Linked DNA regions of Oreochromis niloticus. The protein of the gene in region 3 purifies or fractionates together with the protein of the main gene of each other region. This does not show direct contact. Links are inferred from orthologs where the notes say so. Each region holds a gene or a part of one and is shown on either strand. Other genes may lie near its edges.

What was found.
Region 1: the proteins of sart3 (region 3) and lsm8 purify together in Homo sapiens (affinity purification with mass spectrometry; 4 studies listed by BioGRID and IntAct, counting the BioPlex papers as one, with this or other methods). This does not show direct contact. The link is inferred for Oreochromis niloticus from reciprocal best matches to the Homo sapiens genes SART3 and LSM8.
Region 2: the proteins of sart3 (region 3) and smx5 purify together in Homo sapiens (affinity purification with mass spectrometry; 3 studies listed by BioGRID and IntAct, counting the BioPlex papers as one, with this or other methods). This does not show direct contact. The link is inferred for Oreochromis niloticus from reciprocal best matches to the Homo sapiens genes SART3 and LSM2.
Region 4: the proteins of sart3 (region 3) and ppih purify together in Homo sapiens (affinity purification with mass spectrometry; 3 studies listed by BioGRID and IntAct, with this or other methods). This does not show direct contact. The link is inferred for Oreochromis niloticus from reciprocal best matches to the Homo sapiens genes SART3 and PPIH.

The regions. Positions count from the first base shown.
Region 1 is NC_031981.2:20,046,401-20,053,181, forward strand, and holds lsm8 (LSM8 homolog, U6 small nuclear RNA associated), read left to right. Parts: upstream 1-3,969; 5' UTR 3,970-4,157; coding exon 4,158-4,188; intron 4,189-4,755; coding exon 4,756-4,796; intron 4,797-5,139; coding exon 5,140-5,267; intron 5,268-5,790; coding exon 5,791-5,881; 3' UTR 5,882-6,162; downstream 6,163-6,781. Other genes in the region: tymp (thymidine phosphorylase), read right to left, coding at 6,780-6,781. UniProt on the Homo sapiens protein: Plays a role in pre-mRNA splicing as component of the U4/U6-U5 tri-snRNP complex that is involved in spliceosome assembly, and as component of the precatalytic spliceosome (spliceosome B complex).
Region 2 is NC_031986.2:32,801,517-32,809,471, forward strand, and holds smx5 (smx5), read left to right. Parts: upstream 1-4,852; 5' UTR 4,853-4,970; coding exon 4,971-4,973; intron 4,974-5,158; coding exon 5,159-5,226; intron 5,227-6,391; coding exon 6,392-6,422; intron 6,423-6,518; coding exon 6,519-6,578; intron 6,579-7,313; coding exon 7,314-7,439; 3' UTR 7,440-7,775; downstream 7,776-7,955. Other genes in the region: inpp5d (phosphatidylinositol 3,4,5-trisphosphate 5-phosphatase 1), read left to right, coding at 1,921-2,118, 2,247-2,671, 2,766-2,797. UniProt on the Homo sapiens protein: Plays a role in pre-mRNA splicing as component of the U4/U6-U5 tri-snRNP complex that is involved in spliceosome assembly, and as component of the precatalytic spliceosome (spliceosome B complex).
Region 3 is NC_031977.2:18,325,366-18,333,253, forward strand, and holds the start of sart3 (squamous cell carcinoma antigen recognized by T-cells 3), read left to right. Parts: upstream 1-4,813; 5' UTR 4,814-4,839; coding exon 4,840-5,040; intron 5,041-6,350; coding exon 6,351-6,477; intron 6,478-6,568; coding exon 6,569-6,673; intron 6,674-6,757; coding exon 6,758-6,942; intron 6,943-7,189; coding exon 7,190-7,295; intron 7,296-7,702; coding exon 7,703-7,827; intron 7,828-7,888. Other genes in the region: tmem119a (leucine-rich repeat transmembrane protein FLRT3), read left to right, coding at 460-1,830; iscua (iron-sulfur cluster assembly enzyme ISCU), read right to left, coding at 2,350-2,441, 3,857-3,935, 4,045-4,155, 4,236-4,349, 4,518-4,619. UniProt on the Homo sapiens protein: U6 snRNP-binding protein that functions as a recycling factor of the splicing machinery. Promotes the initial reassembly of U4 and U6 snRNPs following their ejection from the spliceosome during its maturation.
Region 4 is NC_031984.2:24,225,270-24,232,586, forward strand, and holds the start of ppih (peptidyl-prolyl cis-trans isomerase H), read right to left. Parts: upstream 3,022-7,317; 5' UTR 2,886-3,021; coding exon 2,820-2,885; intron 103-2,819; exon of another isoform or gene 1-102. Other genes in the region: taf10 (transcription initiation factor TFIID subunit 10), read right to left, coding at 4,200-4,289, 4,435-4,549, 5,329-5,393, 5,542-5,699, 7,127-7,259. UniProt on the Homo sapiens protein: PPIase that catalyzes the cis-trans isomerization of proline imidic peptide bonds in oligopeptides and may therefore assist protein folding. Participates in pre-mRNA splicing.

The DNA.
Region 1 (6,781 bases), on a different chromosome or scaffold from region 3:
ATTCAGCTGATTGGCTGGAACCAATCAGAAACATAAACATTTCCTTCCCTGCCTGTCTGTGATTGGTTCTTTTTCACACACAAAGACAACCAATCAGCTTCCAGGAAGAAGCCACGCATGCCCCTACCCCGACTTCCCCTCCCCATCCCCAGCCCCAGTGACAGTGATCTCTTATGCTAATCAATTGGTGTGTTTTTTTGATTGACTGTTGTCAATTCTGTTTGTTTGTTTGTTTCCATGGTGACTGAACCAGAAAATATGTAAAATAGATTTAAAAAAAAAAAAGTTCAGTCCCCATCGCTGTTCACATCAAAAACCATCAAACCCTGAAAACACCATCTCATAATCACAAAAACTATGTTACAAAAGAAAAAAATCCTGTTAAAACAGGAAACCTGTGACGGTAAACACTTGTGTGTGTGTGTGTGTGTGTGTGTGTCTGAGAGAGAGTGAGTGAGTGTTTATTTTCGAGTGATGTCAACATCTTCCTGCTCTCACCTTAGTCTTAACTCACTATTTATAGTGGCCAATCAGAACCCTCCCTCAGCATCCCTGAGCCAAACAGTCCAATAGTTGCTGCTGTGCTTTGGATTAGAGCGTTCTGATTGGCTGTTTCTATGTGGATAGTTGTCATTGGCTGTTCTGTTCTACCCAAAATTTTCTAAATGCTCAGATGGGTTTTTTTTTTTTGCAAGCAAATGGCTAGTATGTAGTTAGCATTAAGCTAGCAGACGCAGAGCACAGGGCTAGTGTAACCATAATTATATACACAGTACAAGGGAACTACTATCCTAACTATGTTTACTAGCTAATAAACATAGCAAGAGACTTGTAAGCACATGGGTAAAAACCGCTAACCAAAGATAAAATTTAGCCAACATTTTTTTATGTTAGCACACAGCTAGCCCAGTACCAGCACAGTCTGTGTATTGTTAGCACAAACCTTGCACTTCACTAAGGTATGGTTAGCTGTAGAGCTAAAGAATGTCTTTTAGCATCTTGACTATAAAAAGGCTGAAACAGCTCTATTGGTGGTATTCCACTGACACCTGAGTAGGCTAACTTGATCTAAGGACATAACTATCATATGGCTAGCAGACACTGAACAAAGGGCTAGCGTAATCATAACAGACATAACACAAGGACCATAGGCTGGTTGTGTTTGATATCCATTTATTATTATGTTTATTGGCTAATCACAAAGAAAGAACTTGGTTGGCATATATTTAAACAGCTAGCCAAGGCTAACATTTATCGTAACATCCTATTGTATGTCAGGACACAGTTAAGCACAGCTCGTGCCCATTGTTAAAATCAGGCTAATGTGTTAAATAAAGACTTTTTTCTTATTTGCATTAGGCTAACATAACAGATAATAGAAATACATTTTAGCATATGACCAGCAGATGCTGAACACAGGGTTTACGTAATACAGACAATGCTAACATAAGGGTATTTTAGCTTCATTGAAAATCTCTTACTGATTTTTGGCTTATGTTAATGCATAACTTACATGTTGATAACAGAGCTATAATATAGCTTATGGTTAGTACTAAGTTACGGTTTCTAATTTTAGCAAAAGCAGTATACCACACATCAAATTCAACTGACAAGTGAGCAGCCTAACTTGGTCTGAGGACATTACTAACATATGATTAGTATGTATCTAGCAGACACTGAGCATAGGGCTAGTCTAACCATAACACATGACTATACACATAGAACAAGAAAATTAGGCTTTCTATATGTAACACCCATTTCTTGCTATATTTATTAGTTAATAAGCATAAAAATAATTTAATTAGCATATGAATAAAGAGCTATCCAAAGCTAAAGTTTTTATGTTAGCACACGGCTAGTACCAGCACAGCCCTTACAGACCTTTAACATAGGGCTTACATTTGCAAAACAAAGTTTTTCTCTTGTTAGCAAAAAGCTAACATGGGAGATAATAGAACTACAGTTTAGCATGTGGTAGTTGATGCAGAGCATTAGAGCTAACATAACTATAACATGTGGCTAGTTGCACATAGTACATGGATGGTAAGTTAGCTGTACAATTTTTCAACACTTATTTACTAGTGTGGTTACAACTTAACATAGCAAGGGCTTGGTTGGTTTGTAGGTAAACATAAGAGCAAGGAGCTAAAAATGTCTGCTAACAAGAGAGTATGTCAGTTTTATGTCAGCCTCTACTGATTTGTGGTTTATGTTAGCACATGAGTAACATGAACTATAATTTAGCTTGCGGCTAGCATTTAGGCGAGGTAGTAGCTACAGGTTGATTAAAGAGACCTAACAAGGTCTAAGGAAATGGTTCACATTGCTAATACAGAGCTAATGCCTTGAATTCAGGGCTAACACGTAGATGTTAGTGTTTTAAGGTTCAGCCAAGAGAACTGCTCCACCAATGGGAACAAGCCACAGGGCTGAGGGGTGTGGCTTCACAAGGGTTTGATGAGTGAGACCTAAAGCCATACACACTGTGTTTGTGCGCATGTATTAACATTACCATGTGTGTGGGTGTGTATTTGTTAGAGCCTGTATGTGTGAGTGTGTGTGGGTGTGTGTGTGTGTATGTGTGTAACATTGCAGGGATTTGCACTCTAGTGATTCACCTCAGCAAGACATCCACCCACCTACAACCACACACACACACACACTAACACACACACACACGTGCATTGCACTGCCATTTGAAATAGTGGGTCAGATTAGTTTCCATGTAGCTTCACCAACCAACCAAACTGTATTTTTCTTTAAAGGAACAGGGATGTTGTAAAGTATTTTTGTACAAATTTAATACTTTGGTAGCATGACGTTCCTGTTGTTTGTCCTGTCGGGCTCCACTGCTCTCCTCCACCCGCCTTTGTATGGACGATTACTGAGCAACAATAAAGATGAAGACCTGCTGGGAGAACTGGACTCTGTGTGTTGTCTGACATCAACACTCACAAGTTTGATTTTTTTTTTCTTAATACATATTTCATTTTATGTCTTTGACAGAAAGAAAAGCAAATTTGATGACCTGCCTGTCTATCCTGTGCTGAAAATTCCTCAAATACATCTTACCACTCATGGTTACCACTATTTTAATTTTTCAAAATTACATTAAAGTGTACGTAATAGTTATGCATTTAGAGAGTATTAACTAGATTTCCTTAAATTATCCAAAGATCTCAAAACTGTTTTATTCCATGTTAAGCTAATTTTAAATGCTTAATATTGTATTTGGTAGTTAAATAATACGGTAATGGCTTATATTGGTAAAAATCATCATAATTTTTTAATCATCCTTTCCTGTGAGAACCACATAACAGTAAAAAAAAAAAGAACTTTTCTAGTAGTAAGTTAACAGAGCAGTGCAGGATGTTCTTTGTCACGTGGACTTTTCAATGATTATTTTTGAGGGTAATCATCATTGTAAAAAATTTAGGTTTTTCAGAATTGTTTAAGGAATTATACAACAATGACCAATTTTCTTGTTTGTTTTTTTCTAGTTATAGGAAATGACATCACGTCCGGTGTCCATTTTGTTTGTGGATCACATTTGTTTATATTTCAGAAGAGTCATAAATATTTTTACTATTCAAAGAAGCATCTGAGGGCTCTGAAAATATATTGAAATAAACAGGAAATGATTCTTAACTATGATGGAGCATAGGAAGGAAAGAAATATTTAAAATCATTTAAGATAGTAATTAAGGGATAGGGTGAAAAGCGAGAAAATAAACTCAGATGTTTTAGAGTCATTAAAGAAATAGTCAAAAAGAATAGTTTATCATATAAATTTACCAATTTGTATCATAATTTTGTGTCTTTTCTCTTATAAACTTGTCATGTTTTCTAGTAAATTTGTCATTTTTTTCTTTTGCATTTCCCATTTTTTCCCACCTTTTTTTATTTCTTTAAATTTTGCAGTTTTTAGTGTTTTCTTTTTGAGAACTAACACAAACCGGATGTGACGCTTCCGCTCGGCGCTCTGCTGTCGTTCCTGCTCACTGTTTGATTGCTCTAGTCTGCGCTCCAGTGTGTTGTTAGCCGTTAGCTACTGCTGCTGTTCGAGTGCGCACGGTTTTATTTTGTCACCGGACTACCACTATAAGTATTTATCGACCACCCCACTGGATAAATAGACACCGAGCCCGGGACAAAGGATGTCCACTGCGTTGGAGAGCTACATTAACCGTATCCTTCCGCCGTTAGCCACTAATGTGCAAACCCTCTGAATGAATGGAAAAATGCTAGTTAGCTTAGCTGCATGCTTACTTGTTTTGTTAATTAGCGGCAGTTCAGAGATGTCTGTGAGAAACGGGTTGTTCAGAGCTGAGTTAAAACATGTTCAGACTTCTTAAATGTAGATTTCACATTTAAAATGAGGGAAATCTCGGGATTTTATTGCCGTGTTTGTATTATGTGGACCCGCTGATCAGAGAAGTTCTGTAAATGATTTCACAGTTTGATTCATGTTAAGATCACACATACACATCAGGACTCATCACATCTGGACCACTTTGAAAAACTGTAAACTCTTCTTTTTTTTAAATTTTGGAAGCATGCAACTTACAGTTTTAAAGCTGGAGCTCATTAACAGACAGAAGCTAAGGTTACAAGCGCCTCTTGTGGACAGAATGGGTGGGCGGCATAGCTTTCAATTTTGGTGTTATGATAATTGTTCTTATTTGTACGTTCTGAATAATATTAGAGAGGTTTTGGTCCATAAAGGTGCTGTTTCTTTAACTCGTGCTGATCCAGGTACCGTGGCCATTGTCACCTCGGACGGCAGGATGATTGTGGTGAGTCTGAACACATCCTTACCTTTACTGGACGATCACCCGGGATCAAAATCACTTTAAAAAAAACTTTTAATCAATTCTTAAATTATATTGGAGACAAATGCATACCGAAGACTGGTCAGAGCCTGGTGTGTTTAAAATCGTGTCATACACAAGCAAGTGCACCTGGAAGCAATGAAAGCATTAAAGTCGTTATTCATTTATATTTTAAACAGCAGTGGGCCCTGCAGAACTTCACCACTCACAATAATCAGGATTCACTGAAGTCAGAATTATTTTGGATTGTAAGTTATTGTTATTGTAAGTCGTGTCCTCATTGATTCATGTCAGTTTGTTTTTTCAGGGCACTCTGAAGGGCTTTGATCAGACCATCAACCTGATCCTGGATGAGAGTCATGAGCGAGTGTTCAGCTCCAGTCAGGGGGTCGAGCAGGTGGTGCTGGGACTCTACATTGTCCGAGGCGACAATGTGTAAGTCACGTTTGACCTTTGTTGATGATGAATCAATACTGAAGATAACAAATTAGTAAGGCCTTAATGTGAATTTTAATCTACAAAATCAGATTAACATGGTTTACCAATTTTATTATTTTATTAAGATATAATTTGTTATTGCAAAATGGGGTAATTAATAATTAGGAGTTAAGAAAAAACTCCCCTATCAGAGTTTTGTTTTTGTTTGTTTGTTTGTTTGTTTAAAATTATTTTTATGAAGGAAAACCAAGAGAAAGACTCTTATTCTTAAACAAGGAGGAAAATGATGTGTGGGGATCCATACCTACATAGATAGATAGATAGATAGATAGATAGATTCGTTACATTGTTTTATTTTAATGTAATGTAATGTTTAAATATTGTTAACAGTTCTGTTATGTAATTTGTTTATCATTGTTTATTGTTTTCCTTTCATATTTTATTTGTTCTTCTTGTTTGTTTTTGTTTGTAATCCCCTCGTTTGTTTTCTTGGTTGCACTTTTTCTTGTTTTGGTTACAGAGCGGTGATCGGGGAGATCGATGAGGAGACGGACTCCACTCTGGATTTAGGAAACATCAGAGCTGAGCCGCTCAACTCTGTCGTTCACTGACCTTTGACCCCTGATGATAGCGTAACTGTTGTGTGAATAAAGTTTATGGGAGTCTGTTTTAGGAGCAGGTGTGCTAATTATCCGGGATGAGCCGGAGCGTCCTGATAACTTGCTCGCCTGCTTCCTGTCTCTGACTCCTGGCTCTTGTTTTCTGTTTGTACTTTTTATAAATAAAGAAGTGAGATGATGAAAATGTTAGAGGAACTTTTTTATGCTCCTAAGTCTTTTTGTCAATGTGAGACTGTTAATAAATAAAGTTTAATTTGTTGTGTTCTGAAAAAGAAAAGCGTTTTTGTTGTTTGTTTACTCAACAAAAATGTTTGACAAATTATATTTTTTAGTCAGAGGATATTGATCAGAGGAAAAAGTGAAAACTTTATGAGAAAGAAATTAGATTCTTAAATTTGAGAAGAAAAGGAGAAAAATCGAATAGCTTCTGAGATAAAATATGCCACAACCAAGATTCAGTTCTTCAAGAAGCGATTTTTATTTAAATGAAAGATCTGCAGAGCCAGCAATAACATGACAATTCTAAATGAATCCTTACATCAGTCACACGTCTGAGAGCGGGGAGGAAATAGATGGTGGAAAGATGGCGCGAACACTAAAGGTGTGAGTAACACTGATATCAATGAAGTGACAGATCGATAAATACTGAAGTTTTACGTGAGGGCCATGGCGAGGAAAGCTTAATGGTTAAAAACAGCTGGATAAAATCACCTGAAGACCAGATAAACTGAGGTAACAAGTTTAATCTGCCTGTAGGAACAATGTGAAAGCTGCTGCCATGACCTCACCGGTCCGTCAGTCTCTGATGCTGCCGCTTCCTGCTGAGCCGATTAAAAGATCAGCTACGTGCTCACCACTGCGCATCCTTAAACTCTACAACTTAAAAGTATT
Region 2 (7,955 bases), on a different chromosome or scaffold from region 3:
TTATTCAGCACAGATTTTTTCTGTACCTGACTTGGAGCATCACCAGTTTGATGTCTTTCTTTGACATAGAGGAACTCCGGAGAAAGCTTCAAAAAGTGTAATATGGTTAATTTCTCTAATCACCCTGTGGGATAGGTGGCTGCACAAACATACAAACATATGAAAACCTCTTCAAGCTGTGATTCTTTCTAGGTCAAAATAATTTTCTAATATGGTCATATTTTAACATTTTTGTGTATCTTATGATCGCCCTCTGTGATTAAAGTCATTCAAAGAGTTTGAAAAACCTCTTCAGAACCTGAAAATGTTTGATCAGTGTGCATCTGTAAAGACTATTATATGGAACACTGTGCACACTGGAGTTTAAATTTAATTTACAGCCATAAACTACACTTGTAAGTGTTAAAATATGACTATGGGAGAAAGTTTTGTGACACAGATGAGCCTGTTGCGTGGAAGTTGATCCATTTTTAATACTTTTGAATCTTTGCGATGTATGGGACATCATATGTTGCTGTTTTCTCACAAGCATCTGATGGGTGGCTGTAGGATGACTTTGGAAATCAAGAAGAGGAAATGAGTGAAGACAGGGCTAGGGATTAAATGGTGGAAGTTGAAGAAGAAAGAATGATGCATAGAGTTCAGGCTGCAGTTGAGACGGGCTCTGGGTGGTAGGGAAGGGTTACAAATGACTGGAAAAGTAGAGTAATGAAGAAGTAGTGAGGGAAACTTCCAGGAAGGTGTTGGACGTATCCTTTGGATAGAAGAAAGCGGACTAGGAGACATGGTGGTGGAATGAGGAAGTACAGGAAAGTATTCAAATGAAGAGGTTAGCAAAGAAAAAAATGTTGTGAAGTCAGGGAGATGAAGAAAGTCGACAGGAGTATAAGAAGGGAGGATAAGAAAAGAGAGAGGTGGCAAAGGCTTATAGTGAGTGTGTATGAGTCTGGACATGAAGGAAGGGCAAAAGGACTTGTATAAATTGGCTAGGCAGAGATGGATAGATATACTAACAGATGAAAAGAGTGTGTTGAGAAGATGGAAGGAGCTGATTGTTGTAAAACATGAGAGAGAGGAGGGCAGATGGATCAAAGCTGGTAAATCAAGAAGTGCAGAGCATTAGTGAGAGCAGCTATGAAGCACAAAGAAATCCATCTGGTCCCGATGACATAGCTGTGAAGGTATGAAGATGGAGGGCAGGGGACTTTCTCACCAGATTGTTTCACATCATCCTGCAAAGTGAGAGAATGACCGAGGAAGGGAGAAAAGGTTAGCCAGCACCAATTTTCAAGAACAAGGGTGACGTGCAGAGCTCTGACTACAGGGGGATAAAGATGATGTGGCATACCATGAAGATAAGAAAGCTGTTGAAGCTAGTTAAGAAAAGAGGCTGAGACAGAGCTCTACAGATGGGATGTTTGTTTTAAGATGTTGATGGAGAAGTATGGAGAAGGTCAGGGCGAGCTGCACTGTGCCTTTGCGGATCAGAGAATATGATAGGCTGATGATAGGATGCCAAGACAGGAACTGTGGCACTGATGGGTTCATGGTGGGGGTGGGATTACATCAGAGATCAGCTCTGAGCCCCTTCTTCTTTGCAGTGTTTATGGAGAGGTTGACAGATGAGGTCAGGCGGTCGTTGTATACGCGATGTTTGCAGATGAGACTGCGATCTTTAGTGAGAGCTGGGAGCAGGTGGAAGAGATGCTGGAGAGATGGAGTATACTCTGGAGAGAAGATGAATCAAAGTTAAGAGAAGCAAGACAATCCATTGTCATGCTGGTGGCATAAATCGCAGCTATGAGACTGCAATTCAAGTTTTTCTGTTGCCTGATTAATTTTGATTGCTGGTTTGGACCATCAAAACTACCCAGGGCGTGATTTTTCTTTCTTTTTTTTCTTCTTTGTTCTGGTTGACAGGTTTTCTAGCAACCAACCACATGATATTTCTAACCCCAATTACATGGGAGTGTCATTCAGAGGCGGGAATGTGATAGATAAAGGCTGGAGTTACAGCATGCCACCGCGAAATGTTACCTCTGGGGGACAAGCAGGAAAAGAGCCAAAGAAGGGTTACGATGTGAGCACACGCAGCCCCACGGGAAAGCCTGCTTCTGTGTAAGTGTGAGCCTCTTTCTGGTTTGAAGAGACTTCAGTTTCATTTCTAAAAATACCTCCAAACCTTTATCTGATCTGATTCTATAGAAAGGGAAACCAATGTCATTAACCGATGATTTCTCTGACAGGGGTGAGAACGGAAAGACATCAGAGATGTTTGACAACCCGTTGTATGGTTCAGTGACCAAATCACATGGTCGGTCTAAAGACCAAGACCAACAACAGAAGGACCATCTCATACCCCCAGATGTGCTATTTGGATCCTCCAAAACAGCAGACGGAGATACCGATCGCCCTCCAGTGCCCACCCCACGCAACCGCTCCTTCACCTGCTCTGAGAATAAACCTCAGCCTCCAACACCAGTCAGCCTGCATCCCCCATCACAAAAGAAACCAGTGGTGCCCTCACGCTCAGAAGGCGGGATGGGCCAAAGCCGGCCTCCTTTGCCTGCTAAGTCCCGACCGGGTGTGCCGGAGCCCCAGACCCCCAAACCAAGAGACTACAGAGACACCTCAGAGCTCACCAGCAAACAGAGACCACCAGGAAGACCTGGTGAGTCTTGCAAAGACAGCAAGGAACATCCTCAGGTTTCCAGACAGCTATAATACACTAAATGACATCTCTTTGTCTTTTTTTGTGCATCCAGACGTTTCCAAGATCGGTCGCCCTGTGAAGTGAGACTGAGAGGTACACCTTCCTGGCTGCATTCCTGGAAATATTTTTTAAAACCCCTTGCTACTGGTGTCACTCATTTTAGAGGACAATCACATATCTGTGCTGTCATTATAGAGCAGTCAGTTGGCTTAGCTTTGCACCTGTCCAAAGGTCTAAAAAATTCATCTGCCTGTCATCCTCAAAAACTCACTTTTTAAGTTAGACTGAGCCGGGCTAGCAGTTCCTCTTTATTTCCAGTCTTTATGCTAAGCTAAGCTAACTGGCTTGTAGTTAGCTTAGTTATCTACTTATCTAAGTGCTAGTGAGACATTAAATGGGCGTACCAGTGTCTAACTCAGCCTTCAAATGTATGTAAACTCATTTTTTAGTTTCTCGGACTTCTGCAAAGCTCACATTGGAACGTAAGTTTGAACCTGGAACCTGCTTCTAAAATAACTGTTACATTTCATTTGGAGTTTTTACACTATACAGTAGCTGATGAATGTTTACCGCACAGTATTATCTTGCACAGACATGTTTGCCTTTAATATGTACAAATGATGCTCCAATGAATTCCAATATTAAAGCTTGAATTACATGTTTTGTGTGTGTGTGTGCATGTCTTTTTTATGTCAAGTCACAAATGACTGCTTTTAAAACTTGGAGTGTTGGCCGCTGCAATCTGCTGCGAAGACCAGACCGGTCACACTGCAGTGATTTGCCTCCATCTGCTGGTCCGTAAAGGAACTGCAGGCAGTCTGAGAAGGGGCCTTTCTAGCTTGGTGTTACTGGAAATACATCTACATTTTCTCTTTAATCAGCTGTGACTAAAAAGGTGAGGTGGCACAGTTCCTGATGTGCACTTTCACTACAAACTGCTTCTACTGCTACGCCTCTTCATTGTTGTAAGGCTGCAGCCTGTAACCTCCACCCATCTCGCTTTTGTGCCTCTGCTTTTGCTCCTGTTCCCATGAGAGACCCGGCTATTGTAGCTCAGCCAGCACACTCATCTCTCGTTTGCCTTTCTTCCTCTTTCCATCAAAGGGTCATGCTTACTACATGTTCTACACACCTTAAAGCTCCTCATCTTTATTTCATGACACATGTTTACACACCCCAGTTCTTCTGTGCAGCTCCATGTTTGAGTATTTGTTTGGCTGGAAGATGCTGCATATTTGGGGAAGACAGTCAAAAGACACGAAACTTTCATCAGGTCACCAATAGTTATAGACATGGTTGAAGACGTGTTGGTGTACATTGGCTGTGTTTTCTTGGTGTTGATGTTGAGGCTAACAGCCGAGCCAGTTCTGTTGGTTTAGTTGGTAACTCTTCTGGAACTGGCTGAGGAGAGAAGAGCAAAGTCTTTGATGAAGTCCAAGTGTGTGAATGTACTCCACTGCATATATTTTACACATATGTTGACTTTAAAATATGACTGATATAACACCAGCGGTTGCTGTGTTTTCCACCCTGAGTATTTGAGAATTAGAAGGTTTTCCTTACCTTTCATGTTATATGTTGGAAGTTTATAATAAATGCATCCAACGTTTCAAATGACTTCTTCTAGGAGAGGGTGTGGGTCCTTAATTTAAAAAACCCAAAACAAAACATGAACTTTCTAATAAAAATGACTTTTAAATTATATTTATTTAGTTTATGTAGCAGAAAAAAAATGCACAATGCAAAGACAGCTGCCACCGTAGTCCCTGTAATTACATTTCTGTAAATTTGTTTTTTCAAAATGTATTTTGTATTTTTCTTTGAACTTTGTCATTGTCACTTTGTAATTGAATTTTTGTTTTCAATTACAGACAGTTACTGCATATTTATTTAGTCTTTGGTTGCACCAGAAAAAAAGAGTTTGTATTTTCCATAAGCAATTTTTTTTAATGTCAACTGACAGTGTTAAGCTTTTTTTATTATTGTCTCTTTAAATTATATTTTATTTTATTTTATTGAAATATATTTTCATATGAAGTTTTTATTTATTTATTTATTTTTTTGAAATCACAATAAAATTAAGTCAATTAGATAAACACCTGTGCAAGCAACGTTTCCCATACATGAACGTTGAGCTTAGCTCTGTCGCCTCTGTGTGGCGAACTTTAGTAATTACACCCTGGTGTGTCTCAGAAATATTAAGGGGTTGTTACGTCATCGACAGGCGACGCGCGGCTAGGAGAGGGCAGCAGTAAGAATGGTAAGGAATCACGATGAAATTATGACTTTTCTGTAGAGTTTATAGCAGATACGTACGGCCGGAGAGAGCCTCTGACCCGGGCACACCTCGGTGTGTCTCTGTGACCTTAATTCTGTCAGCTTTAAAAGAAACCGGCCGCAACGCTAACCGTGCAGCTAACGTTAGCATGTGTTTCTGCTCCGCAGCTTTTTTACTCGTTTTTCAAGTCGCTGGTGGGGAAGGACGTCGTGGTGGAGCTCAAAAATGACCTGAGGTTAGTATTCGTGTTCAATTCGCTCACATAACCTGCCGTTTTCCGGCCTGTGTTGTTTGGTCGGCGATCGCTGTTTGGAGCTTTGTTGATAGACGCAGCAGCGCTCCCACAGTCACAATTTGAATATTAATTTTTATTAGTTTTCATTTGAATTTCACTTCATTTCATTGCAGCAGTTTTTAATACTTCTCAGCTTTAGTTCCGTTTTATTGGATTCTGCAAGAATAATCCAACACAAACAGATGACTCTCAATCATACACATTATCAGAAAGTCAAGCCAACAACATTTCCTGTGTGTTTTACTCTGTGGTTGTTCAGTGAAAGGCCTTAGACAGCGATCAGTGGGCTCTGGGTCTTCATTATGAGCTCAGCACTGAAATATTTATTACGTATTACTGTAGCTGTCACTGTTTAAATGGAACTAATCTGCATGAAACAGTTTTATTTCTTGTAACTGGTCACACTGATGACTGATGAAATGATTGTCGTGGTTGACTTCTTGCTGGAGATGTGTTTTGTTTTGTTTTTCTCAATAAAATCTGAAGTGACTTCAATTGAAACTGGACTAAATGTAGCTTAAAGCAAGATTATGAATCCAGGTTGCAGCCTGTCAGGTCACAGCCGCATAATTACATTTGTTTTAAGATTAATTCAACTTTTATATGTCATAGACGGAGTAGATCAAACAAACTACAATAAGATTTTCTTTAAGTCAAACTGTTCCCGTCTCGGGGTTAAACTCTGGAGCAGGGTCTTGATGCTTGTCAGTAGTGACGGTTTTAAAATGTAACAACAGGTTTGTGCTAATGCCTGTCGTTTCCAGAACAGCTTCTAAAATATGTGCAAGTAACTGCAGATGTGGACAAAACATAGATGTATTAAAAATATTATATTTTGGTGATAATTCTTATTGTTTCACCACCCAGACCTGTGGAAATAAATGTTTAAATATCCATAAATTAATCAATAAGTGGCATGGAAATCCTGAGGTCAGAAAGAAAACCTCAGAAGTTGCGTTTGCTTTACCTGGGCACACCTGACCGTAAATTCCACCCAAATACTGATGAGCTGTTCCCAAGCCTCATAATCTAAAGATTAATTGAGCAATTTTGGTTTGTATTTGTGAACAGAGTCATGTTCATGAATGTGTGTTTCTCTCCTCAGCATCTGTGGAACGCTTCATTCTGTTGACCAGGTTGGAAATAATTCATTTGTTTTAAAACGGAAGCTGTTCAGCTTTTACATTTCTGCATGATTGCTCACTAAAATGCCGTTTTCACATCGCTTTCAGTACCTGAACATTAAGCTCACAGACATCAGCGTCACAGACCCGGAGAAATATCCACACATGGTAAGTTTTGCTTCTGGAGACTTTCCACATTTAATACAGGGGAAAAAAAGACTAAAGAAACAGATGAGGCTGTCGCTGCTAAACAGGTGTTTACAGTTTTACAATGTACAGAAAAAAGAGCTGTTGCAGTGTACTTACAAGGTTTAAGGTTCTGCTACAGAGGTCTGTACAACCAGTAAAAGAAACTAAATTCTCTGCTGCTGTATGTGAGAATGTAGAAATGTCGCCCTTCTACCTGATGAACCTTTTGATTAGATAAATATTCCAGCGGTGAGAGTGCACGCAGGACTTCTGTTTTCCACACAGAATGATGCATGATAAATATTTAGGGGCTCAATTATCCCCCAAAAAAGACACACAGACAACAGCTCCTCCCGAGTTTATATACAGATATGTTTACATAAATATCTTTTACATTGATTATGTTTTTCATGTATTATAACACATAAAGCTTTCAAGATTTCAGTCTTTGTTTTCATCTTGTATGTGAGCTCCATTTGCTGCTGCTCAGTTTTTATTGAGGTCAAGAGGAAAAAGAAAAGTTGGATATTTTTATAATACAACATCAAGAATATAACTATAAACTTTAGCTCCTTATTTAAAAGTTGCATAAAATCAGAAACGAGTTCAGTCATTAGGAAAGTCCTTGGATGTGCACTCCTTAAAGCTCACCAGCAGCTCCAGCACAGAGTGACGGCTGTCTGTCTTCACACTGACTGTTTTCATTTGCTGCAGCTGTCTGTGAAAAACTGCTTCATCCGTGGATCGGTGGTCCGTTACGTTCAGCTGCCGGCAGATGAAGTGGACACTCAGCTGCTGCAGGACGCTGCACGGAAAGAAGCCATGCAGCAGAAGCAGTGACGGGGCTGCGGGGCGGGGTGGGGGTGGGGGGGTAAGGAGAACAATGAATGGGTAGTTCTGGTTTTGGGTTAAGTTTGTGCAGCCTCTCTTTGTCTCTGAAAATGTGTCTTTGACATTGGGGATCAGTCATTAGCAGTTTTTGTTTTTTTTAACCTCAAAGACGGTTTGGACGTCGTCGTTTGATCCCTTTTTTTGGTTTTATATAGAAGTAAACTAATCAGAGAGTCCAGAGAGGAAACCTGCTGTGATGTTCATGTTGATGATAACAGGCACACTTTGCTTATCAAATTGTGGCTTTTTTTATGCCTCTTGGAAATAAACATTATTTTATTTATATTTTCATGACGTTTGTGATTTATTAATTATTTTAGGATGATCTTGGTGACATGTTGGAGGATTTGGGGTTTGCTGTTGAAGAACTGTTTTTCTTTTCCAGTATTTTTGAGTACTGGAGTGTTCACGTCGGATTTTCAGGGCTGACGATCACATTTAAGCTGTGCTTAAAAACGGCAGCCA
Region 3 (7,888 bases):
AACAAGTGACACCTTATCATGGGCTTTTAAGACGTAAGAAGTGGCTTTATAAATAGTTTTGGCAATTCCATGAATGGTTTTTACACTCTGCAGCTCTTTTCCATAAGGTCATTACATGTACCAGAGTGTGCTGGTGGAGTACTGGTGTTAATAAATGGTTCATTAACCTATAATAAAGCTGCTTTTGGCTGTTTCCTTATTCACAAGGGATTACCACAGCAGATGGCTCCACGTGTTTGTTTTGGCAGAGTTTCTATATCAGATGCACTTCCTGATGCAACCCCAGTGGGATTTGGCTGTCCTTCCTGGATCAAACCAGGGATCTTTCAGCTGCTTATTAACCTTTAATAAAGCCATATTATAACATTATACCCCTTCCTTTATAGAACTTTTAGAGGAACCATATCCTCTAAATGCATCTAACTGCTCTTCTGTCCTGCATTATTCTTGCAGTGAGTCATGCTTTGGTGCAGATGTGGTGTCCTGCTGGCTCTCTGCATCTGTCCTCTAGCCTGCCTTGCAGTGTCTCCCTGTCCTACTGGGTGCTGCTGCCCTCGCCCAGGATTTCTGGTTCTGTGTGAGTCACTAGGCCTGAGATCACTCCCTCGCTCGGTTCCTCTCAGTACCTCAGCTCTATCTGTGGCCAGAAACCAGCTCTGTAATGTGGACCACCAGCTCTGGCCCTTCTCCGGCCTCCAGGAGCTTAGCCTCAGTCACAATCTGCTAGCCCGCTTCCCTCGTGGCCTGCCTCCCAGCCTGGAGTCCCTGCAGCTGCAAGAAAACCGCATTACTTACATCACCTCAGGTGTCCTGAGGCAGCTGGGAAACCTCACTCGCCTGGACTTAGAGGACAACCGTATTCGTGCCATCCAGCCCGGGGCACTTCAGGGTCTCCACAAGCTGCAGGTCCTGACACTGAAGGGGAACAGGCTTACAAGTCTCCCCCTGAATCTTCCACCATCACTGACCCATTTAGACCTCTCAGAAAACTGCATCTCTGCCTTGGACCTGCCCTCACTGTCTGCTCTGGTCAACCTGCAGGTCCTGAAGATCAACAGCAACTGCCTGCGGTCAGTCCCAGAGAGCGCCTTCGACAGCCTGCCACGTCTCAGATCTGTGGACCTCACCAACAACCTGTGGGTGTGCGAGTGTGACATTCTATATCTGTACCGCTGGCTGCTGAGCGGTAGGCTTAAGATGGCCACAGACATTGTGTGCACAGAGCCTGATCATCTTGCCCACCGTCTGCTTCTGAATCTCTCTGTCGTGGCCATTTGTCCTCGTGTCCTGAAGCCAAATGACAGGACACATGAACGTGACCTCAGCTCTGCACAGGAGAGGACGCTAACAGCGCAGCCAGCAGAGAAAATATCAAAACTAACCACTAATGGACTGCTTTCCGAAGCTCTAAACAGTAATCAAGACTCTCCCAAGACACGTGTCTTGCACTACTCTTTAGAGACTCTTACCTATGAGGAGTGTTTATCCCTAAATAACAGTCAGTCAGTCAGCCCCTTCCATTTAAAGACTACTACTTCTCTCCCTGAGGAGGAACAGAGGTGCAGAGACAACATCACAGCTCGATACCCTCAGAGTAATGTAACCCCTGCTGAGGGGACACAGTTCTTGCTTTCCACACACAGAGATGCACTCGTGCCCACTCTCGTCCCACAGCCGTTCACTCAGCAGGCCACTGCAGCGATCATCTCTCTGCTGGTTGTGCTGTGTGTGTTAGTGGCTCTCGTAATGCTGGCAGTGCTGCTCGTGCTGAAAAAGGTGCTCGTGCGTCAGCAGAGGGTAGCTCCTGCTGATTCAGGATCAGCAGGATGACATTTACACACACACACTGAAAAGTCTTTTAATCTGTTTATTCACAGTAAGCAAAGCACCTCATACAAATTTTCTGAACTTTTTTTTGTATGTAAACTTTAACTGTTGACATTCTCATACCAAGTCTTTCATCTGGGACCTAAATTGTCTCACAAGTGAGCCAGATAGAGCCTCATAGCCAAAATATACAAACCCACACCCCTGCTTCATTAAAGATGTCTTTAATGCTGTGTGTATTAAAGTGTTAAGCTTCACCATGAAGTCATTGTTAATTAAACAATTCTAATTGTGTGATAAAAGCAAAAGAATCCATAAACGCTATTAACATCTGGCACTTGAACAATATGGGACCCTTGGCTTAAACTCAAGAGACTGATCCCACACCTGTGGAGAATTCCCCAACGGATGCAAGATCCAATGTGATGTGATTACAGCGACCCGTCTGCACTGCTCTGGCACTAGGAGAGGCATGATCCAACAATAGGATAAATCTATTATTATAGACAGTGAATAAAAGCATTAATTGCTGGCTTTAACACGTTCCTCCTTCTTGTCCTGTTGCTTTAGCCGGTAGTCTGACAGTGCTGCTTTTATGGCATCTTCTGCAAGCACTGAAAAAAAAAGAAGATTTTAGAGACACTATGAGCATAATATGGAAAACAAAAAGCATTCAGTTCATGATAACTGGGCGATTTGATTTCATTTCATATAAACATTATGTAGGGGTGATTAATACAGTCACTCATTCATTCATTCATCCATCCAATCTTCCATAGAGTGCAAGATGGGGTACACCATGAAGAGGTCACCAATCTGTTGCATGGCTAAGACACAGAAACAGAGCTATTCACACCATCATCAGTTAACCTATAGATGTGGTCAGAAGTTTACACTTGTCGTGGGGAGGAATGTCATGGTAATATGGGACTTTTAAAGATTTCTTTGAACTGTTCTTTTGAATTTATTTTGGACTTTCTCTGATTCACACACAGGGTTAAAAGGACACAAACGGGATCTGGTAACTGTGACTTTGTCATAGTCTGGAAGAAAACCCAAACTGTCACCCTCAGATGAGAGGAAATTGGTTAAGATGTTCAGAAACAACTCAGGGACCACTGAGGCTCAAGCCTGCTAAGAACTCATCAAGTCATTAAAGATTTTCCACCCCGGAAAAACAACAGTTCAAAGAAATCATTAAAAGCCCCAAATTACCATGAGATTCATGCCAATGATGAGTGGATGTAACGTGTGTTTGGACTGTGGAAGGAAACCAGAGTACCCAGAGAGAGCCAACACTGTTTAGAGATATATTTATTGTACGTGTAATCTCATAACACTGTTAAATATCACAAAAACAATACCTAGAGGTACAGCTACAATTTTCATAAAATCCAGTATCACTAGAACGTACAGGATTTTATCATCCCCATGGCTGAAATTATATGATTTATTACAGGAAACACCTGATCTGAAAGCATAAATGTAGGTGCTTTCAAACAGAGCAAGAGAAAGAATTTGTCTTGGGAAAAAAAAAAGAATGGTGTGCATGGCCCTGAAGCTATTTTGGACACTTAACAGCACATTTTGATCTTAAGTAGGTTGGACCAGGGATCTTTTTGTTGTAAAGCTGTTCAACTACATATTTAATCCCTGAGATAGCTTAATGTAAGAAGAAAAGTGCAATTTAAATCATATTTCTCAGGTTTTCTACACAATTAGGAAATGCTGATATATTGAATTTAAGAAATCGGCCAGCATGACACTTTGTGCTTAAGTGGTAAGAAATTGTTGTCTTTTTTGTTAACTGACCTAAAATATTTTGGTGTAGTATGAATGGCCACAGTGGAGATCCTTTTATTAGGAAAAGCTACAAAACTTGAAATGAAAATACAATTCACATTTTCCAGTGTGAGCCGGACTGAAGTTTTTGCTGGCCCGATTCTGCCCCCCGGGCCTTAGATTTGATATATGATATATATTATGACACCCCTGTCTTAAGAGATGTTAATAACGACTGTGAACTTACTTGAGCAGTGAAGCTTGACTGGAGGAAGGCAGAGTTCTTTGGCAATGTCTGTGTTCTTGATCTTCAGAGCATCGTCAACCTGTAGGGCAAAAGCAGATTCATGAGACCCTTTACAATAGAGTGGAGAAAACAGCACTTTTAGGGTCCATTTTTTGGTTGCCTGTACTTTGTTTGGTACTTTAACATACCGACTTCCCCTTCACCCACTCTGTTGCTAGAGAACTGGAAGCAATGGCCGATCCGCAGCCAAATGTTTTGAACTTTGCATCGATGATCTTTCCATTTTCATCCACTTGGATCTGCAAAGAGAACAGAGTCAAACATGGGAATTTCAAATACATGATAATGGATTGGTTTCTGTTACTGACTTCCAGTTTACCTGAAGTTTCATAACATCACCGCATGCCGGTGCACCCACCAATCCAGTCCCCACATTCTTGGAGTTTTTGTCCAGGGAGCCCACGTTTCTCGGGTTTTCATAGTGGTCCACAACCTTAGGGAGAGGCCACACTTATCAGAAAAAATATATATCTCTGTTCTCTTGGTGTAGCAGCTGACAGACAGGGCACTGTTACCAGTTGACAACAACACGATAAATGTCAGCTAACTCTTTCTAAGTAAGGTGACGTCAGCGGGTTTGGACGCATTTTCACTCGGTTACCTTTTTGTGGTACAAGCAGACAGCGCTCAGCTCCGGTTTGAAAATCCTCCTGCTGAAAAACAGCAGCAAGGACGAGGAGCTTCGTAGGCAGACGTTCGCCATGTTTCCAGCACCAACTGCGAACGGAAATCAACGAGTGAGCACGAGGAAGCACGAACGGCTTTTGTTGACAAACAAATAAGAGAAGAAGGTTTTACACAACTAGGGAGCGCCCACTAGCGGCCACGGGCGAGGTTAGACGGTGACCCGTGTTGACGGGCTCCGCCTCTCATCGTCCCGCTGGCTGCTAGCAGGCTGTTACCAGGCAGATAGCCTTTCCAACATGGCAGCGTCAAGCAACGCAGAGCAAACGCAGTTGCAAGATATGGAGGAGGAAGATGCAGGGATGGAGGAGAGGGAGATGGAATCGGACGAAGACGAGGAGGAAGGCATGGGAGTGGAAAATTCAGACGAAGACGAGGAGGACGATTCGTCAGAGGACGAGAAAGAAAATGAAGCCGAGATCCAGCGACTTGAGGAGCAGGTGATTAGCCAGCGTTAGCCGAGGGGCTAATGAGAATGAATGGGTGGTAAACACGGCCAGCCACAATCGGGTAGGCAGCGTCAAAGCGGCGAACTCCTCCGTCATGACATGGTCGAGTAAAGGCAGAAAATATACGTGGCGTTGGTAGCTCTCGTTAACCAAAAACATCTAAATATACAACCACGTCATTTACATAGCTGTCGTGATTAGCTGCCCTGCTAATGTGCGATGCTAGTAGTTCGCGTGCCTCGTATTCACACGCGCCTTTTTTCTTGCAGTCTCGGTCCACGGTGGGATCCCAGCGTTTAGTGTGGGTTAGAAACAAAGTACAGTACAAACAAAAACAGTACACGCTGTGCTAACTTTAATGAGCGTCACGTGATCAGTGGGTTTGACCCCTTCACATAACATTGAATCTGCTGTAGTCTTAAGTACGGAGAGTGCTGCTGCAGCTTCGCTGGTGACTGTGTAGTAGGTGTAGCAACCTACAAATACACTCAAATATAGATCCAACTGCATGACTGTACACGAGTCCCTCTGCGAGCATCAGTGTGTGGTACTGCTGACTGTACTGTGCTATATACAGAGATATGTTTTAAATATTCAGTCTCACTGATGTAGCACAAAAGTCCAACAGATCAAACTGCAACCCACGAAACTACCTGAATTTTCAGTCAACAGCTCAACAAAATATGAACATATGCTCTCATGAAGGAGTGGGTTGAGTTTTATAGTTTGTAGTCTTGCAGCTGTTAATAATAAAGAAGAACAACAACAATGTTATTACACTTTAAAAGAGAACTCTCATAGTTCATTACATGAATTATAAGTGAACTTTATTTTCTTTTGTGGTGGTAATAAATTGGAGGTAAACACATAAAATAAAGCATGGATTGTTTAGGATACACTTTGTTTAAGTGCAGGGATTTTTCTGCATATAACAGATTTGTATTTTCACCAAAGAGATCTTGGCCTGCCAACAAGCTTCATGAAAAATATTTTTAAATTCATAGAGATATATTAAATAAGGTAACACACTTTTCCTACATGCAAACCAATTGTGGCAGTTGATGTGTTCACCTAAGAAACAAAAGATCCCTGGTGGGATCCTGGGAGAGGTTGCGTCATGAACGGTAAAAATTCGGCCGAATCAAATATGCGGAGCTATCTGCTGTGGCGACCTCTTGTGAATGCGAGAACAGCTTAAAGTAGCTTTTACATGCCAACCGATTGTGATTTTGTGCCTACAAAACCCCTGAAGTGCATTGTCACATATCTCATTCCTTCTTCATCTTTGTGTAACTCCTCAGCTGTCCATCAACGCTTTCGACTACAACTGCCATGTGGATCTTATCAAGCTGCTCAAGCAAGAGGGGGAACTTTTCCGCCTGCGAAAGGCGAGGCAGAAGATGAGTGAGCTTTTCCCTCTCACTGAAGGTTGGTGCACGCCTGACATGCTTCTGGGGTTGGAGGAATAAGCGGCTCTGCATTATTTACAACTGAAACCTTGTTTTGTTTAATCCCCCAGAGATCTGGCTGGATTGGCTCAAGGATGAAATCCGTCTGACTGAGGAGGAGCCAAACCGAGAGAAAGTATATGAGCTGTTTGAGAGAGCTGTTAAAGACTATATCTGTGAGTGCGCAACACCATCGCCACCACCTTCCGGCCTGATGATTAGTAATTACACAATCCTAACATTTAACTTTACACACACAGGTCCCGATATCTGGCTTGAGTACGCGCAGTACTCGATCGGCGGTATGGGCTCACCGGGCGGAATCGACAGGGTGAGATCCATCTTTGAGAGGGCGGTGACAGCAGTGGGGCTTCACATGACCAAGGGACAGATGGTGTGGGAGGCGTACAGAGAGTTTGAGAACGCCATCCTGTCCACAGTGCAGGTTTGTGTTCCCGTCACTAGGACAGAGTTCACCATTCACACATAAGCTATGTTTGTGTTTTTGTATTGATTGTGTACATATGCCATATTGTCTTAGAAATTAAAAGCTAGTGTAAATAATTTTATTTCCATGTTATTGCTGTCAAATATAACACTTCTTCAGTTCAGATTGCTGACTTGAATTCTTTCCATGTTTGACTGAATGGCTTGTGCTTTAACACCATGTTCTCTGCTGGCTTTCCTCTCAGCCTCCCCCTGGCAGGATTCCCAGCCATGAGGAACAGGAGATGCTGAAGACCCAGCTTGAGCGAATCCATACACTGTTTCGCCGACAGTTGGCCATCCCTTTAATGGGTAAGCATGACGTGTCTTCTGGCCAGACTGGTTGCTGTAAAATGAGACAGATTCCTGTTGCGAGAGCCATATGTCAGAAATTACCCGGTTTAAAGAAAGTTATGACGCTGGCTTTTAGGATAAAATTAACATGTCAGGGTGACGAGTGCACTCCTCATTAGTTTACTAGAGAGGTAACCGGATGGTTTGGTATCGTGTTGTTTTTCTCTGAGTGGAGAGCCGTGCCGTTTCTGAAACATTTGAATCTCTAAATTTAAGTAAAGCAACAGATAAAGTAGAACATTTTGCAAAACTGAAAAATGACTATTGACTGTGTAATTATTTGCGGTGTTTGTATTTTTATATCCAATCTTGAAAGAGTAAATTTCCTGCAAAATCTGTGATAATTGTGCTCTGCTGCTTTGTAGACATGGAAGGCACCTACGCAGAATATGAGGAGTGGTCCGAACATGGCGTCCCTGAGACGGTTATGCATCAGTACAAGAAAGCTTTGCAGCAGATGGAGAAGTGCAAACCGTTTGAGGAGGCTCTGGTAATGCACTTTGCTAAATATGATGTCCATTCGTTCTGTGTAATGTTTTTAAATGATGTTG
Region 4 (7,317 bases), on a different chromosome or scaffold from region 3:
TGAATGTCATTAAATATGATCAGCAGCGACCTTGGATCCTGAATGTAATCTTTTCTTCCATCATATGTTATTTCCAAGTTGAAGAATAAACTAAACTAAACTTAAAGATAAGCTTTAAATCCAACACTGACGCCATCTGCTGACGAAGCTCAGATAACACAACTGAACGCACTGGAACAGACCTCACAGTGGGATTTTGTAATTGGCTGTAACTAAAAACGCATCTCTTCTTGACTTAACCATATCATAATAATAAGGGTGCTTACTATGAGTAAAGGGGTCTCGTGAAGACTTTTTTCTTTTGTTGTAATTATTTTAGATGACAGATGTGTGCGGAAAACTACAATATGCTGGTATTGTAGCTGGTACACGTAGTTCAAACTTCATACCACCACCATTCTATGTAACAACAGTCGCTACTAGCACTACTGACTACTGACATTCCCCTTTCTTAGGCTAACATATTTTATTTGTCAAAGTCTTAAGCAAACCTAAATATGGAACAGTCTTCAACTAGAGAATTCAGGAAAATGAAGTAAAAAGGAAGAAGAGCACTTAACTAACATGTTAACATAATACGGTACTTAGAGTTTGTGTATTATTTTAATGCTTTCATAGGCAGGTTATGATAATAATAATAATAATTATTATTATTATTATATATAGGGGTTCATTTTTAATGTTAAAGGAAACTTCTGTCACTTTCATTAAAAAAAAAGAAAAAAAATATAACTAATCAATGCCAGAGTATAGCAGTTCCTGGTGTCTCTGTTTTAAACAGCTTTTATCTGATTTTCCTTATTATTTATCTGTATAAAATTCCCAGTATACTTCCCAGTTCCTGCTTCAATATGCAACTGGGTGCAGTGTCTTTAAAGCAGCTCATGGGATCAAATTTCCACCTATTAGTTATTAAGGGGCAGGCTCATAACAAGGACCAGAGAAAACAAGCTAAAAATAATACTGACTTTCAGGACTATTTACTTCTTTTTAAAAACTCTAAAAATATGTTAGAATAAATATGTCTAAAAATACATTAATAAATAATGTAAGCTTAAATGGCAATGCCAATAACAATCAATGCAGAAAGAAGTAAAATACATATTCATTTATGAATAATTTGTTGCACACCTACTTGTATTTCAATACACACACACACAAACTCTCATACATATATAAACTTTGCACAAAAAGTAAGGACATTTTTGTTTGGTCAATTACTTCTTTGTTGTAACAATGTTTTTTGGCACTAAATCTTAAACTGTCAGAAATCCTGTTTATTTTCCTTTAAATGATGCCACATCTATAAGGAAAATGCATGTGTGGGTTGAGCAGGAGAGTAGAGTTTGTCTTCTTTTTCAATGCCAAACAGCTTATTCTGCTATTGATTCTAGTTTTGACACTCAGGTGCCATGGGCAAGTGATTAGAAGTACCCATAAGCAAGAACCCTGCAACAGTGATCAGATGTTGTCTTTTCCAAGCATGCTACATTTGACTGCTCTAGCTATGGTACCTTCAAGAAGGAGTTCTGCAAAACAAGCAATACTTGGAGTGAGCCCTAGCACCCTACAATCTCCAAGTTGAAGGCCAAGATCTGTATAACGGGGGATGACAGAGACCAAGTGGGCATCTGAAGACAACAACACCACACAAGACAGTTTCCTTGCCTGTCACCATAGCACTGACAGTCATTTACAGATTTGCAGTCAAGGTTTTCAGGACGATATGGCCGACAGTTTTCTACCCAGACAAACCAGAGCAGACAGCACACAGCCAGTCTCTATACTCATAGGGCTGCCTGGAGGCTTGCAGTGACTGCTCTTCCCCATCAGGCCTATTTGCACTGGCGTCAGCAACATGTCCACTGGAACCTGACAAAACATTATGTTCAGCTATGAACAAATTCTTCCTACATCGGCTGGATCATAGGTCAACTTGTGGAGAAGACTCGAAGAACGTTGTGCTGATTGCTGCACCAATAGGATACCAGCTTTTGGTGGAGGCAATGTGATCAGTTGGGTGTGGAGAGGATGGTGCCAAAGTGACCTACGCAACCACACTGGATGACTTGCAACAAATGCTGATTGAAGAATAATATGCCATCCCACAGCAGTATGTGATCAGCATGAGGTGGAGGTGCCAGGTCGGTGTGGTTGTGTATGGTTCTTCCACATGCTACTAAGGCTGCTGTTTGTTCAAAGAATAAATTGCCAGGATCTATTGATTCTTCAGATTTTAATCAACCAATCTAAGCTGTTTGGCATTGGAAACGATTTTAATGGGCACAACCCACAGACACAACTCTACTACTCAAACAAATGTGGTACCATTTAAGTGGAAATAAATAGGCCAAGAAGCATATACAGGATAATTCCCAAGTTTATATACACACTAAGTCATTATAAGTGTGCGTGTGAGAGAGATATCTAAGGTTTTCAAAAAGTTATTTCTCCAAATGCAGCTTGTTCCACGGGGTCAATAGATGAATAACAGTCATTTAACTAATTTATCGTACCATACTGATATGCATTTAGTTGCGGGGGGTATTCTTTTGAACAACATTGGGATATGTTCGATTCAAAGTCGACGTGCTTTCACTGTCCGCGTCAAACCTTAGTTCAACAAACTCAGCCGTATATAATGAAAAGGAGTATAAACGTTTTGCCAGTCTTATTGTATATAATGTATATCAGGCGTGTATGTTCTACAACAAGGTCGTTTAAAAGGGTTTAACCAGACTATGAACTTTATTGTTGCCACTGAGGAGACGCGGTAACGTTGCCGGTTAGCTTCAAAGTGTCTTTATAATGCTACTCACCTGCCCTCCAATGGTAATGTCGAAGAACACAACCGGGTTGTTGGGGTTTGAGGCTTGAATCGACATTGTCGTGATTTACCCGCTTTCTGAGACAACAAAAATGCAACTTTTGGCTGTTTACACAGCAATAATTTGAACCACGATCTGCGCTGTCGGAACTACGGCGTCTCGCGAGAGACGTGCTACGGATCCCTTCTGCGGACAAAAGACTTTCGTCACCAAAAGCGCGATTGTGCGGAAATAAATTATTACGGCGAGATTTCTGCTGATAGCAGCGTAAAAAATGAACAGTTAACAGAAAAAAAAGACTGAATTTGTCTTTACTTCTACTTTCTGTCAAAAAAATAATTGCATTTACAAGTATTGGTTATAACATAGTCCTTTCCATGTCAAATTCATTAAGCGTGTATCAACTGGTAAAGTAAGGTTGTGGTACTTAGTACAGGTTTTAATTAAAAAAGCATTATCTATAATCTCAAATCTATGCTTATAAATACAGCAGCAAAAATCTTTTACACGTGAAAATTCCCATTCAGACTAATTATACAATACAAAAATAGATCAATTTTTTCAATCACTTGAATTCCAGAGTGTCAGTTCTGCTCCGGTATCTGAAATTTGTGAAGAACATCACACAAAGCTGTCGTGGACCGCATCCATAAAGGAAAAAAAAAAAATTTAAAAAAAAATCGCTGTTCACAAAACTGAAAGTCTAACCCTCACCAAAAAACAAAGCCTAAAATGATAGATGCAGTAGGTTTCATGTGGATCTAGCAAGGGCTACGAGGAACTGTCAGCCAGGATATATATAGATGTAGGTGTGCACATTCTATAAGGCTGCATGACTACTAGATGTGTAGTTGAGACAATATTTTAAGACAGCATTAAACATGAAACTTTATATATTTAAGCAGGGCTCCCAGTCTGAAGAAGCTTTGGAAGTGGGGAAGTTTCCAAAATGAAAATGATCCCAGACAGACCAACAATTACCAAAGTTGTTTTAAAGAAGAAAAGGGAGAAAGTTATGACAAAGTATGCCCCTGATCTGAATCCAGCAAAATACATTTGAAGTATTTTGAAGTGTAAGGCAGAGGAACAAAAGTCATACAAGAAAGATCAGCTATACTAATTTTGACACCTCTGTGGGAAAAATCTTTCTGTTAAAGGTTTTATTTTCACAATAAAACAACATTTTTACAAATTAACAAACTGCAAAGACTGCGCCACAAAACAAATGACCAAATGCAAATTGACTGCAAAGATTTCTCAAAGTTGTACTAACTCAAGGTGAGAAGAAAATAGCAATACAGGTTGTCACAAACTGCTGTGAAAGCAGGAAGATAAGTACTAGCAATAGCAAAAAGCTCTAAAGAAAGAGTTTTATGTAAAGTAATAAGGTTTCTTCACATTCACGCCATATTCTGCGAGTGCAGGAGTCAGGTCCTCCATAGTCAATGTGTACTTCTTATCCTATACAGAGAAGGAGGAAAAAAATTATCAGGAGCAAAAATAACTGAAAGCAGATGAAAGGTTCCTCTTCTAGCAACACTCACACAGTGCTCTCTAAATATTGTACATCGTAGTTAAAGTGCCTGTTAAAATTAGACAAGCTTACCTTTGTCTTACTTCTTGAGCTTCCTGAGGCAGTGCCTTTCATTTTGCAGTACTGCAGCGCATCATTGGCAATGTCTGAGATAAACTTCTGAGATGCGAGGGAGATCAGACGAATTCTATGCATGGAAGAAAATAATTAATACCTTTTTCCCTTGATGTTTACAGCCCACCTGTATCCTTATTTTGAAAAACACCACACACATAAACCTCAGATTTTCTATGATCTTGTTCAGAGTGATCACAAAGCTGACATTAACGAGTCTTACAAGGTTAGAGATGTTGCATTTTGGTTAAAAGGTTAAAGCCAGTTTGTTTTAAGCAAATCTAAATCAGCCAACACTCCCTGTAACATCAGAAAGCACGGTGCAACCTAACTAATACAGCATTAAGATAAGAAATGCTGTATACCATTGGGAAATTCTTTAAATTATGACAATATAGTCATTTATTTGTGACTTCAACATGTTCCCATTGCCAGATTACATTAATTTCTGACTCATTCAGTGCCTTGAACTAAGGTTTTTATTGGTGAACTCATATTATATAAAGGCTTTTAAGTCAGCTGTTAAGTAAATTGGTGGCTATCAATCAAACCTCTGAACGTACCAACTATGAGCAGCCTTATGATTTGTGCTGTAATGTACTCCTCCATGTGTGCACACTGACAGATACAAAGCTGTTCCTAGTATACAATTTCTCAGTCTACCTAAAGGACACATGCACAGGTGGAGGTTTTTTACTGACATTACATTAGACATTACATTACACTGACATTAGAGCAGAATCGAGTGCATCTCACCCTCACATTTGCCTCTGATGACATTTTTTTTATCACTTAGATCCATGCATCCCTGCAGATGCCAAAAGATCTGAATACTACACTGCATGTACTCACATCCTTGGATCAGAAGCCTCAAAACCAGCCCGGTTGAGGTAGTAACCTGTGACTGCATCAGGAATCTGGTGGGAAAAAAACAAAAACAAAGAATAACTACTAATGTATATGTCACTAATATTATTAGTGCACATGTACCAATCAAGGACTGATTAAGAAACATTTCTGTCAAAAATGTGTGAAAGTATGATGTAGCGGGGCTAACTGACTTACCGTGGGAGTGTACTCTTCCAGCTGCATGAGGAAATCAGCCAGTGGCGTGGTGGAAACAGCAGGCTTCACATCTCCATTAGTGATGCCACCAGGAACATAGACTCCATTGGAAACAGATGTGTCTGCAGACGGTGTCACCACAGCTGATGAGGATGAAGCTATAAAAGACACATCAAGCAATGTCTGAGATAAACTTCTGAGATGCGAGGGAGATCAGACGAATTCTATGCATGGAAAAAAGAAAATAATTAATGCCATCTGTCTTGTCAGTCCAAAATGTGAACATTGGTATCATCAAAAGAGTGTAGCTGTGCATCCGCACCTAAAGGATAAGTTGTGGCTTTTGCTGCTTGGTTATTTGGCCAGTGGTGTTGAGGATTTTGGTAAAGTTGATGAAATTATAAACACACTTGAATAGGGTTAGATTTTGATATCCACCACAAAATACCATCTGGAAACAGTTTCATTTTTCAGCATGACAATGATGCCAAACACACTGCTAATGCATTTAAAAAAAAAAAAAAAAAAAAAAAACCTGGAAAGAAAAAATATACAATTAAGCACTATCAGTCATGGATCAGGATCCCAAAGACCAGACTTCAACTTTACTGAAACAGTCTTGGACCATCTTCACAGACAACAGAGCAAAAGGCAGCCAACATCCAAAGAAGCTTTAGATGTAATTCAAGAAGCCTGGAGAACTATTGCTAAAGAGTACTTAGAGAAGTAGTCTCCAATTTTTACATGAAAATTAAATCCATTTTAAGGATGGGGCCTAAGGGAACATCTTCCACCATCACTAATTCCCCAACTCTCTCTAAACAGTACTCATGGCCATTAATCAATGATCATGACAATTTGTATATTAGTAATCAGGAAACTGACCTAACAGTTAATCAGTTGCGGGACCCCACAGTCAGCTGAAACTGAAGAGGTCACTTGCATGAGTGACACAACATACCTCAACAGTCAGATAAATAGAATCAACTTTCTGTGACTACTTAAAGAACCTACAAGAAAGCTTGCCTGAGAGGATTCAAGGCCTTTTAAATAATAAAGGTGGTCATATCAAATATTCACTTTATTTTCAAGCTTGTTAGAATTGCACAAACTCTGTTTTTGCCTTATATACCAACATTTTTCAATGCACTGCACCCATTTCCAATTTTCCCTTGCAAAATATAAAGAAATCAGGGATGGCTTGAGACTTTTGCAAAGTACTGTACAAACAATCTAAAAAATTGCTACAATGGTTAAGTTAGTGCTACAGGCTTAACCTGAAACGTGGTACTTGGTAGGTTTTGTAATTAATATGTTTAAATCACTTTAAAGTGTTAGACGGCAATCTAACACTTTAAAGTGTTAGATTGCCGTCTAAAACCTACCTTAATGCATTACACTTTGATGCATTAAGGTAGGTTTCGCTGATGGTGTTTAGGTTAGTACGCGTTTCTCTCAGTCAGGCTTGGTATTGTTGTCAATAGTCAATGTACATCGTGGAAAGTTTCGACTTCCAGTGCGAGATGAAATCAGCAAATGCTCTCAGAATAATAACAAAGACAATAACAAAGTCACGTTACGTTACCATTACTCGTGACCGACGGGATGCTGCTCACGTTGGTTGTCGTATTATCGTTGGCAATGCAATTACTTGCCGTTGACGATGTGGTAGAAGGCACTCCTGTTGTTACAGACTGATTTACGTTGTCCATATTCATGCTGGCGTTAGCTAACGAGCTAACCGTGGTTAACTAGCACCGAAATATGCAAAACACC